Saccharomyces cerevisiae S288C: one gene and its partner. The gene in region 2 interacts genetically with the main gene of each other region. Each region holds a gene or a part of one and is shown on either strand. Other genes may lie near its edges. The genes, in order: GDH1 and GAT1.

Region 1 (4,124 bases), on a different chromosome or scaffold from region 2:
AATTCATTGAAGAGTTCAAAGCCGCTTCTGAATCCATCAAGGTGGGCGACCCATTCGATGAATCTACTTTCCAAGGTGCACAAACCTCTCAAATGCAACTAAACAAAATCTTGAAATACGTTGACATTGGTAAGAATGAAGGTGCTACTTTGATTACCGGTGGTGAAAGATTAGGTAGCAAGGGTTACTTCATTAAGCCAACTGTCTTTGGTGACGTTAAGGAAGACATGAGAATTGTCAAAGAGGAAATCTTTGGCCCTGTTGTCACTGTAACCAAATTCAAATCTGCCGACGAAGTCATTAACATGGCGAACGATTCTGAATACGGGTTGGCTGCTGGTATTCACACCTCTAATATTAATACCGCCTTAAAAGTGGCTGATAGAGTTAATGCGGGTACGGTCTGGATAAACACTTATAACGATTTCCACCACGCAGTTCCTTTCGGTGGGTTCAATGCATCTGGTTTGGGCAGGGAAATGTCTGTTGATGCTTTACAAAACTACTTGCAAGTTAAAGCGGTCCGTGCCAAATTGGACGAGTAAGGTCATCAATAAGCCTGGTGTCCAATCGATGCTTACATACATAAAATTAAATATTCTGTCTCTGTTATATTTCCACATGTCATCATTTCAAATATATGTACTTTAAAGAAAATAAAATAAAAAATAAAATTTTTTTCTCCCGATAATCAATTTTCTTAATTAATTAATTGCGTTACGATTCCGTTTTTTTACTTCTTTTATCTCATTATCTATCTAAGTTATTTAAAAAAAAGAAAGAACTTTTTATGAACTTTCCTCTTTTCTTTCTTTTAGACTATTTAAAATACATCACCTTGGTCAAACATAGCATCAGAGACCTTGATGAAACTTGCGATATTAGCACCTTTGACCAAAGATGGCAAGACCTTACCGTCCTTAGTGTACTTCTTGGCATAGTCGATACATTCATTGAAACAGTTGATCATAATTCTCTTCAACTCTTGGTCAACTCTTTCGCTAGTCCATGTGATTCTTTGAGAGTTTTGTGCCATTTCTAAACCAGAAACAGCAACACCACCCAAGTTAGCAGCCTTTGGTGGACCGTACCAAACAGCTTCGCTTGGTCCAGTGGCGGTGGAACGAGCAGTTTCAAAGACGGCAATAGCTTCTGGAGTGGAACCCATGTTGGAACCTTCGGCAATAAACTTGACACCTTGAGCAACCAAGGCCTTGGCTTCTTCACCGCTGACTTCATTTTGGGTGGCACATGGCAAAGCAATGTCGACCTTTTGGACGTGGGTCCATGGACGAGCACCAGCAATGTATTGCACTTTGTTTTCGGAGAAAGTAGAGTATTCGTTGACGATTTGTTCCAAGGACTTGAAGTTGACCTTAGCACTGGAAATATCAGCGACTTGTTCGGAGGTGATACCAGTTTCAGAGATGATACAACCCTTGGAGTCAGATAGGGAAACGACAGTACCACCTAGCTCAATAACCTTCAAGGCAGCGTATTGAGCAACGTTACCACTACCAGAGATGGTGACGCGCTTACCTTCGAAAGATTCCTTACCGTTTGTGGCATAGTCGATCATAGCTTGAGTATAGTAAACTAAACCGTAACCAGTGGCTTCTGGTCTGATCAAAGAACCACCCCAGTTCAAACCCTTACCGGTTAAGACACCTTCCCAGGAGTTCTTGTATGATCTGTAAGCACCGAACAGGTAACCAATTTCACGACCACCAACACCGATATCACCAGCTGGCACGTCAGTGTCTTGACCAATGTGTCTGCTCAATTCTCTCATGAAAGCATAACAGATTCTTCTGATTTCGTTATTAGATCTTCCCTTCAAGTCCACACATAGACCACCTTTACCACCACCCATGTCTAGGCCGGTCAAGGAGTTCTTGAAGATTTGTTCGAAACCCAAGAATTTCAAGATAGACAAGTTCACGGAAGGATGGAAACGTAGACCACCCTTGTATGGACCCTTGGCGGAGTTATATTGCACTCTGTAACCTTGAGCAACTTCTTGTTCACCCTTGTCATTTTCCCAGGTGACTCTGAATTGTATGATTCTTTCTGGAACAGAAACAATTGGCAAAACCTTTCTGTATTCTGGGTGTTGTTCGAAAAGAGTAGAGTCTTCCAAAGAGGAGACAACTTCTTCGTAAGCTTGTTGAAATTCTGGCTCTGACATTTCTTTTTCTTTTTGGTCTCCTAACTGTTATATTAGAATAATGCGATAGTACGTATCAAGCAACTTTCAATGCTATAAGAAAAGTCATTTAAAGAGTGAGAGAATATAAAATGGGTAAACGCATTTGTAACTCTCGTATATTTTATATATGAAAAACAGAAAATTTTCCAATCTTCTCTTACTTAGATTACGTATACTTTGCTTTAACAAGAAGCCGGCCTTTGCTGCTACTTCTTACGCTTTCTTCTTCCGCAATTTTTCAGTGCTGATTTTCATTATGGTACCTGATGAAAAAGAAAACGGCGCAGCAGCTGATAACAGCTTCTCTCTGCTGATTGGACGTGGGGTCGTACTATTTCTTTTTTATTGCCCCACCGCACTGAAAATGCATGGGCCGGTTCCGGCGCATTGGTTCTGCGATAAGAATATCGAGGCCATCCAATCAGATGGTCAGATAAGGTTATTAAGATCAGGCCCGTTTCCATGGAGTCATGGAACCTGCATAAGGGGAGCCTGATACACTAGAGAATAATGACCTGAGTGGATGTAGCATCATATTCCTTATGAAATCCTCTTATCCAGCCAATCGTAAACGATGCCCTCCCCCACGTTATTGTTGTATAATTCAGGTTATGCCCAGATGCGGAGTGGTGCCCAGATCGACTCGAACGCATGGTCTTCTAGGACTCTTTATCGCAGCCCCATGAAGCAGTGCCACTTTATACTGAATGGAGTTACTAATATGGTTTGGCTCGGTTGGTATACTGGCCACAGCCCGCTAGAATAATTCAAGAAAAAAAGCCAATGCTGGACAGAATCACTGTAGAGTTTAGCGGACTTGAACCTAAAGAAGTTCATCTCCTTCTTGTCGGGAGCTTCGGTGTGCTAGTTTGTTACTGTCGAAGAGTCCATCATTAAGAGAAGTTTTCGAAGCTTCTGTCGCTGAACTACTGTATGCGAGATTACACTTTACAGAATAACTTGGGAAGCTGTCATTCTTGGTAGAATATGAAGGCTTTGAGTGCTGATCTAAGATCAGCTTACGCAAAGTTTCTTGCACTTACGCGATTGGAGCCGACGGCTTGGTAAAAATTTTCGAAATTGCAGGTTCTTGAAGCAGAGATTGTTCCGAAGAAACTTGGTTTCCAATCAGATAGAGAAGTGGGCTTTCTGGTCATGCCACGCAAGTTACAAGCGCGGAATTGCTACCACTTTACGTCTTTCTTCATGTTCCTCGGACGTTTCCAATCATTAGCCGTTCCTCTAGACATCTACAGATCTATTCCTAATCACAACCTATCTCTAGCCGCAAGATATATCTGTGTGAGAGGGGTCGCAACAGGAATACCTTAAATGGGATAACCGTCACGTGACTCTCACTAGGGGCATCAAGTGCGCTGCTTCTTCAAGGTTTTCGCGCCCTGTTTGAAGAAGTGGCACAGAATCCATAGAGTAATATTACTAACGAGCTACGAAACTTAGCTTACCTATTAAATACTCAAAGAAAATACGCTGTGTATGCTTTTGCGGCACATCTATGTCATTAAATCTCTCCATGGCGCGTATATTTTATGACGGGAAATCTGAGGCCGATCGAGGAGGGAAATTACTAGAAAAGCTTATCCTTCTTTACCTCCGAACAAATTTTAAAATATACCTCAATGGGAATAAAGAATGCAAGGAAAGGCAAGGTTCAGCCTATGATGATGAATATCGTACTCTAAAATTATAGATATCTAACTGTGGGCGTATTAAACCTTGCTTTGGTCATTATCCAATCGTGTATGCAGAGAGCGGGGCGATATGCAGCAAACAAAAGGGGCGAAATAATAGTTACTCCAAAGATGAAATGGCAGAAGAAAATGGAAAACTATACAGTTTGCGAAGGAGGCATCCTCTTAGTTAAAAAAAAATTTGGACTCATTGCACTGCAAAC
Region 2 (4,144 bases):
CCCGCTTTTACACATCACAAAATGATGCCATTCAGATCCAGATCTTTCTGCCTGATGAAAGAAAATCCTTGCCATTGTCTTGTTTTGACGAGGTATTCCCAGAACACATCATTGTTCGTACTCGCGGCTTCCATTTTATTATTTTTGAAAAATGCTGCCAAATAAAGAAGCAAAAAAAAAAGGATGTTCAGGTCTCGGTTGCTCTTACTGAGCTTCTAGTGACGTCATATAAGACTCAAATAAAGTAATTGCCTAGGATAACTGGTTTAGTTCTCTTTTAAATTTGGGAGGGCCATTCCTGTGTGTGAGCCCTGCGCCTTTCAACTATTCTGTCACCGCCGCAATAGATGTTGGGTCACATGGAAGCATAACGCACACTGAGCTTTTGATAAATGTTGCACTTTTTTTGTTATTTTTTTTTTTTTTTTATGAAATAAATATAGTGTTCTTCTTTTTATTCTATGTATACATAGAGTTTGATTAGTATGTGTATATATATATGAAGCGGACATGGAAAGAAGCGAGTACTTTTTTTTTTTTGGGGGATCTATAAATTCAGATTCAACCAATCCAGGCTCAGATTGCCATTTGGAGTGGTGTTCATGTTTGAGTTTGGATTTGTGTCTCCAGAATGATGATCTATTGCGGAGTCCAAAGGCTTCCAGAAGGCTTCATTGTTGAAGGAGGAGGTTGAGGCGTTGTGAAGGTTCATGTTCATAGTCATATTCATATCAGGCCGAAAGCTGGAGAACGTTTCCGCCTCGATGGGTACGGAACTCGAAAGGTGGTGGCGAGTGTTAGAGCGGAGGTATTGTGGGATGGAAGGTGAGGCAATCTTCGGAATGGGTATGTCCTGAGACTTCAAAGGTGCGACAATGTTCAGTGAGTTCTTCCTCTTGGACGCTGCCACACTTGCTGTATAGTTTTTCTTTTTCCCTGCTGCTCCCGGATTGAGAGACGACGATGGAGGGGGCGTTATATTGTTGTTTATCTTGGTAGACGACCTCTGTCTCTTCTTAATGATGTCAGTCTTCAACGACAGAGGCCTTGTGACGCCGTGGAGCTTGAGGAAGAGGCCGCAAGCATTGCACAGGGGAAGACCCTTGGGGTCCTTCCTCCACAGCGGAGTGGTGGAGGTTGTGCAGTTGGAGCATTTTATATCCGGATTGGATGAGGTGTTCGAAGGCGGAGTAGCCGAAGATTGCACAGAAGTGGAAGACTTGATCTTCTTCAAAGCAGGTTTCTTCTTCCTCACGGAGGAATTTCTTCGCGAGCCAGGCTTCACTATAGATGGGGAGGGGTTTCTTCTCAGTAAAGGACTATTGGTGTTTGTACTTGCACTTGTGTTTGTGTTTGTGTTTGCGTTTGTATTATTGGCGATGCTGGGACTGTTATTATTATGACTACTATTATGACTATGATTATTATTAATGCTATTATTATTTAAAAATGGTAAGTTATTGGTGAAAATAAAGTGGTCATCGAAGGAGGACGAGCAGGAAGTGTCCAGAAAATTAGGGAAACCAGAAGCATTATGTGAAGCACGCTGGGAAGCGCTGTCCATGTCGTTGAGCAGGTCTGAGTGCACAATGGAGTGCGTCTCCACGTCATCATCATCGTCATCGTCGTCAAACACATTTTCAAAAACAGAAGATCCGTTGAGGTTCATGTCTGAAAGGAAGAATTGCTGGTTATCAGTATCGGTGTCATCGAGGTCGTTGTTGCCTGGGCCAGCGGCGTTCACGCCGCTGGCAAAGGGCGAGGCGGAGAAGTCCATAATAGAGTTAGAATGTTGCATTATGCGGTTAATTCGATGGAAAGACGTGCGGTTATGCAAACGCCAAGAAAGGTTCAAAATACGGTTAGAATCGGGCAATATTTTCTGGGCGCTCGAGTACAGGTCCCAGATTTCTTTGTTTAAATTCAAGTCCGGGTCGAGGTTCGGGACTCTGTTCGTGCTCATAGTTATGTTCACTACCGTGCACCGTGTACAATGTATATATATATCTATATATATATATGCACATGCGATGAACAGAACAGGGGAAGGGCGGAAAAGCAAAGGAAAGAAAACGTGCATGCTAATACCGGGGCCGGGAGTGGCACACACCTATATATATGTGGCTGGGCCGGGCACCGCAAGTGTGCGACTCATAGTGCTGTTATTATTGTTGCTCTGTATTGTGGTGGCTGTTAATACCAGCGGTAGCTGCACCGGCACTAACACTATGCTGCGCTGCTTCACATCGTTCTGCTATGTGTCGGCCTGTGGTCGGACGCAATGATTTGTTATCTTATCTTATCTTATCTTCTCCCTTATCAGCCCGTTGTTCCTGCTTTGTTGACGTTGGGCACTGGGTGCAAGCACACCTGTTATCGGCCGGACCAATCAGTCATGCACCCACACACCGGACTGCGTATAGAAGATCCGGGTTGCTGGTTGAAGTTGGATTACCGCGAAATGAGAGCTAGCAGACGGGAAAAGGAGGTATTACGTTGTGCAGAGACAGGGTTGTGTGAGGACACCGTAATACTGATGGATGCATCTATAATGAAATAGGGTAGGTTTTTCAAAAAAAAAAAAATATTTTTGCACCACGTAGAACTCAGAAGTATTGGGCAAGCTAGGTTTTGATTATGGCGCCAAGTACGTCTTCGCCGGCTAAAATCGGAAAGCGGGACCGGTCGCATTTGGCCATAAGTTAGGTGACCCGGCTTTGGTATCGTTTTATCAGGGGTTTACCCGGTCGACCATATTGAATCAAACAAAGAAAAGAGGCAGGAAAAACAGAAAAAAAAAATTTTTCTGTTTTTCTCTACCTCTTTTCTTTTCAGTAAACTTTGTTCCTCTCTACGTGAAAAATGCTTGAAAAATTAATAAAACGCATTGCTGTAATCTTGAACGTACGCAGTACTTGTGGTTAATGCACATGTAAAGTTGTGAATACATTTCCATATATATACATATATATATATATCTTACGTATATATACATTAAAGGCACCCCCCTCCCTCTCTCACCCCCTAACGTAAAGATGTCTGACTTCCAATTAGAAATTCTAAAAAAACTAGATGAATTGGATGAGATCAAGTCCACACTGGCAACTTTCCCTCAGCACGGCTCTCAAGATGTTCTTTCCGCTTTGAACTCTTTGAAAGCCCACAACAAGTTAGAGTTTTCCAAGGTCGACACGGTTACGTATGACTTGACCAAAGAAGGTGCTCAAATTTTGAATGAAGGTTCGTACGAAATTAAACTAGTCAAGCTCATCCAAGAGTTGGGTCAACTTCAAATCAAAGATGTGATGTCCAAACTGGGTCCTCAAGTTGGTAAGGTCGGTCAGGCTAGAGCTTTCAAGAACGGCTGGATCGCCAAAAACGCCTCAAACGAGCTTGAACTCTCCGCAAAATTGCAAAATACCGATTTAAATGAGCTTACTGATGAAACGCAATCTATTCTAGCGCAAATCAAGAACAACTCGCATCTGGATAGCATTGACGCCAAGATTTTGAACGACTTGAAGAAAAGAAAGTTAATTGCTCAAGGTAAAATCACAGATTTCAACGTTACCAAAGGGCCAGAGTTCTCGACCGACCTCACCAAATTGGAAACCGATCTTACCTCCGACATGGTCTCCACCAATGCATACAAGGACTTGAAGTTCAAGCCTTACAATTTCAATTCTCAAGGTGTGCAAATATCTTCAGGTGCTCTTCACCCCTTAAACAAAGTCAGAGAGGAATTTAGACAAATTTTCTTTTCCATGGGATTCACAGAGATGCCCTCGAACCAATACGTCGAGACAGGTTTCTGGAACTTCGATGCCCTTTACGTCCCACAACAGCATCCTGCTCGTGACCTGCAAGACACTTTCTACATCAAGGACCCACTAACCGCTGACTTGCCCGATGACAAGACATACATGGACAATATCAAAGCCGTTCACGAACAGGGGAGATTCGGGTCCATCGGTTATCGTTACAACTGGAAGCCAGAAGAATGTCAAAAATTGGTCTTGAGAACTCACTCCACAGCCATCTCTGCCAGAATGCTGCACGATTTGGCCAAAGATCCAAAGCCCACCAGATTGTTTTCTATCGACCGTGTTTTCCGTAACGAAGCAGTTGACGCCACCCATTTGGC

Evidence for each region.
Region 1: of GAT1 (region 2) and GDH1, changing one suppresses a phenotype caused by changing the other (phenotypic suppression), as found in Saccharomyces cerevisiae (one study listed by BioGRID).

The regions. Positions count from the first base shown.
Region 1 is NC_001147.6:1,040,855-1,044,978, forward strand, and holds GDH1 (glutamate dehydrogenase (NADP(+)) GDH1), read right to left. Parts: upstream 2,189-4,124; coding exon 824-2,188; downstream 1-823. Other genes in the region: aldehyde dehydrogenase (NADP(+)) ALD4, read left to right, coding at 1-545; YOR376W (uncharacterized protein), read left to right, coding at 2,337-2,705. UniProt on the Saccharomyces cerevisiae protein: Catalyzes the incorporation of an ammonium ion into alpha-ketoglutarate to form L-glutamate, the major route of assimilation of ammonia into an organic form in yeast.
Region 2 is NC_001138.5:93,902-98,045, reverse strand, and holds GAT1 (Gat1p), read right to left. Parts: upstream 2,081-4,144; coding exon 548-2,080; downstream 1-547. Other genes in the region: FRS2 (phenylalanine--tRNA ligase subunit alpha), read left to right, coding at 3,036-4,144. UniProt on the Saccharomyces cerevisiae protein: Positive regulator of multiple nitrogen catabolic genes.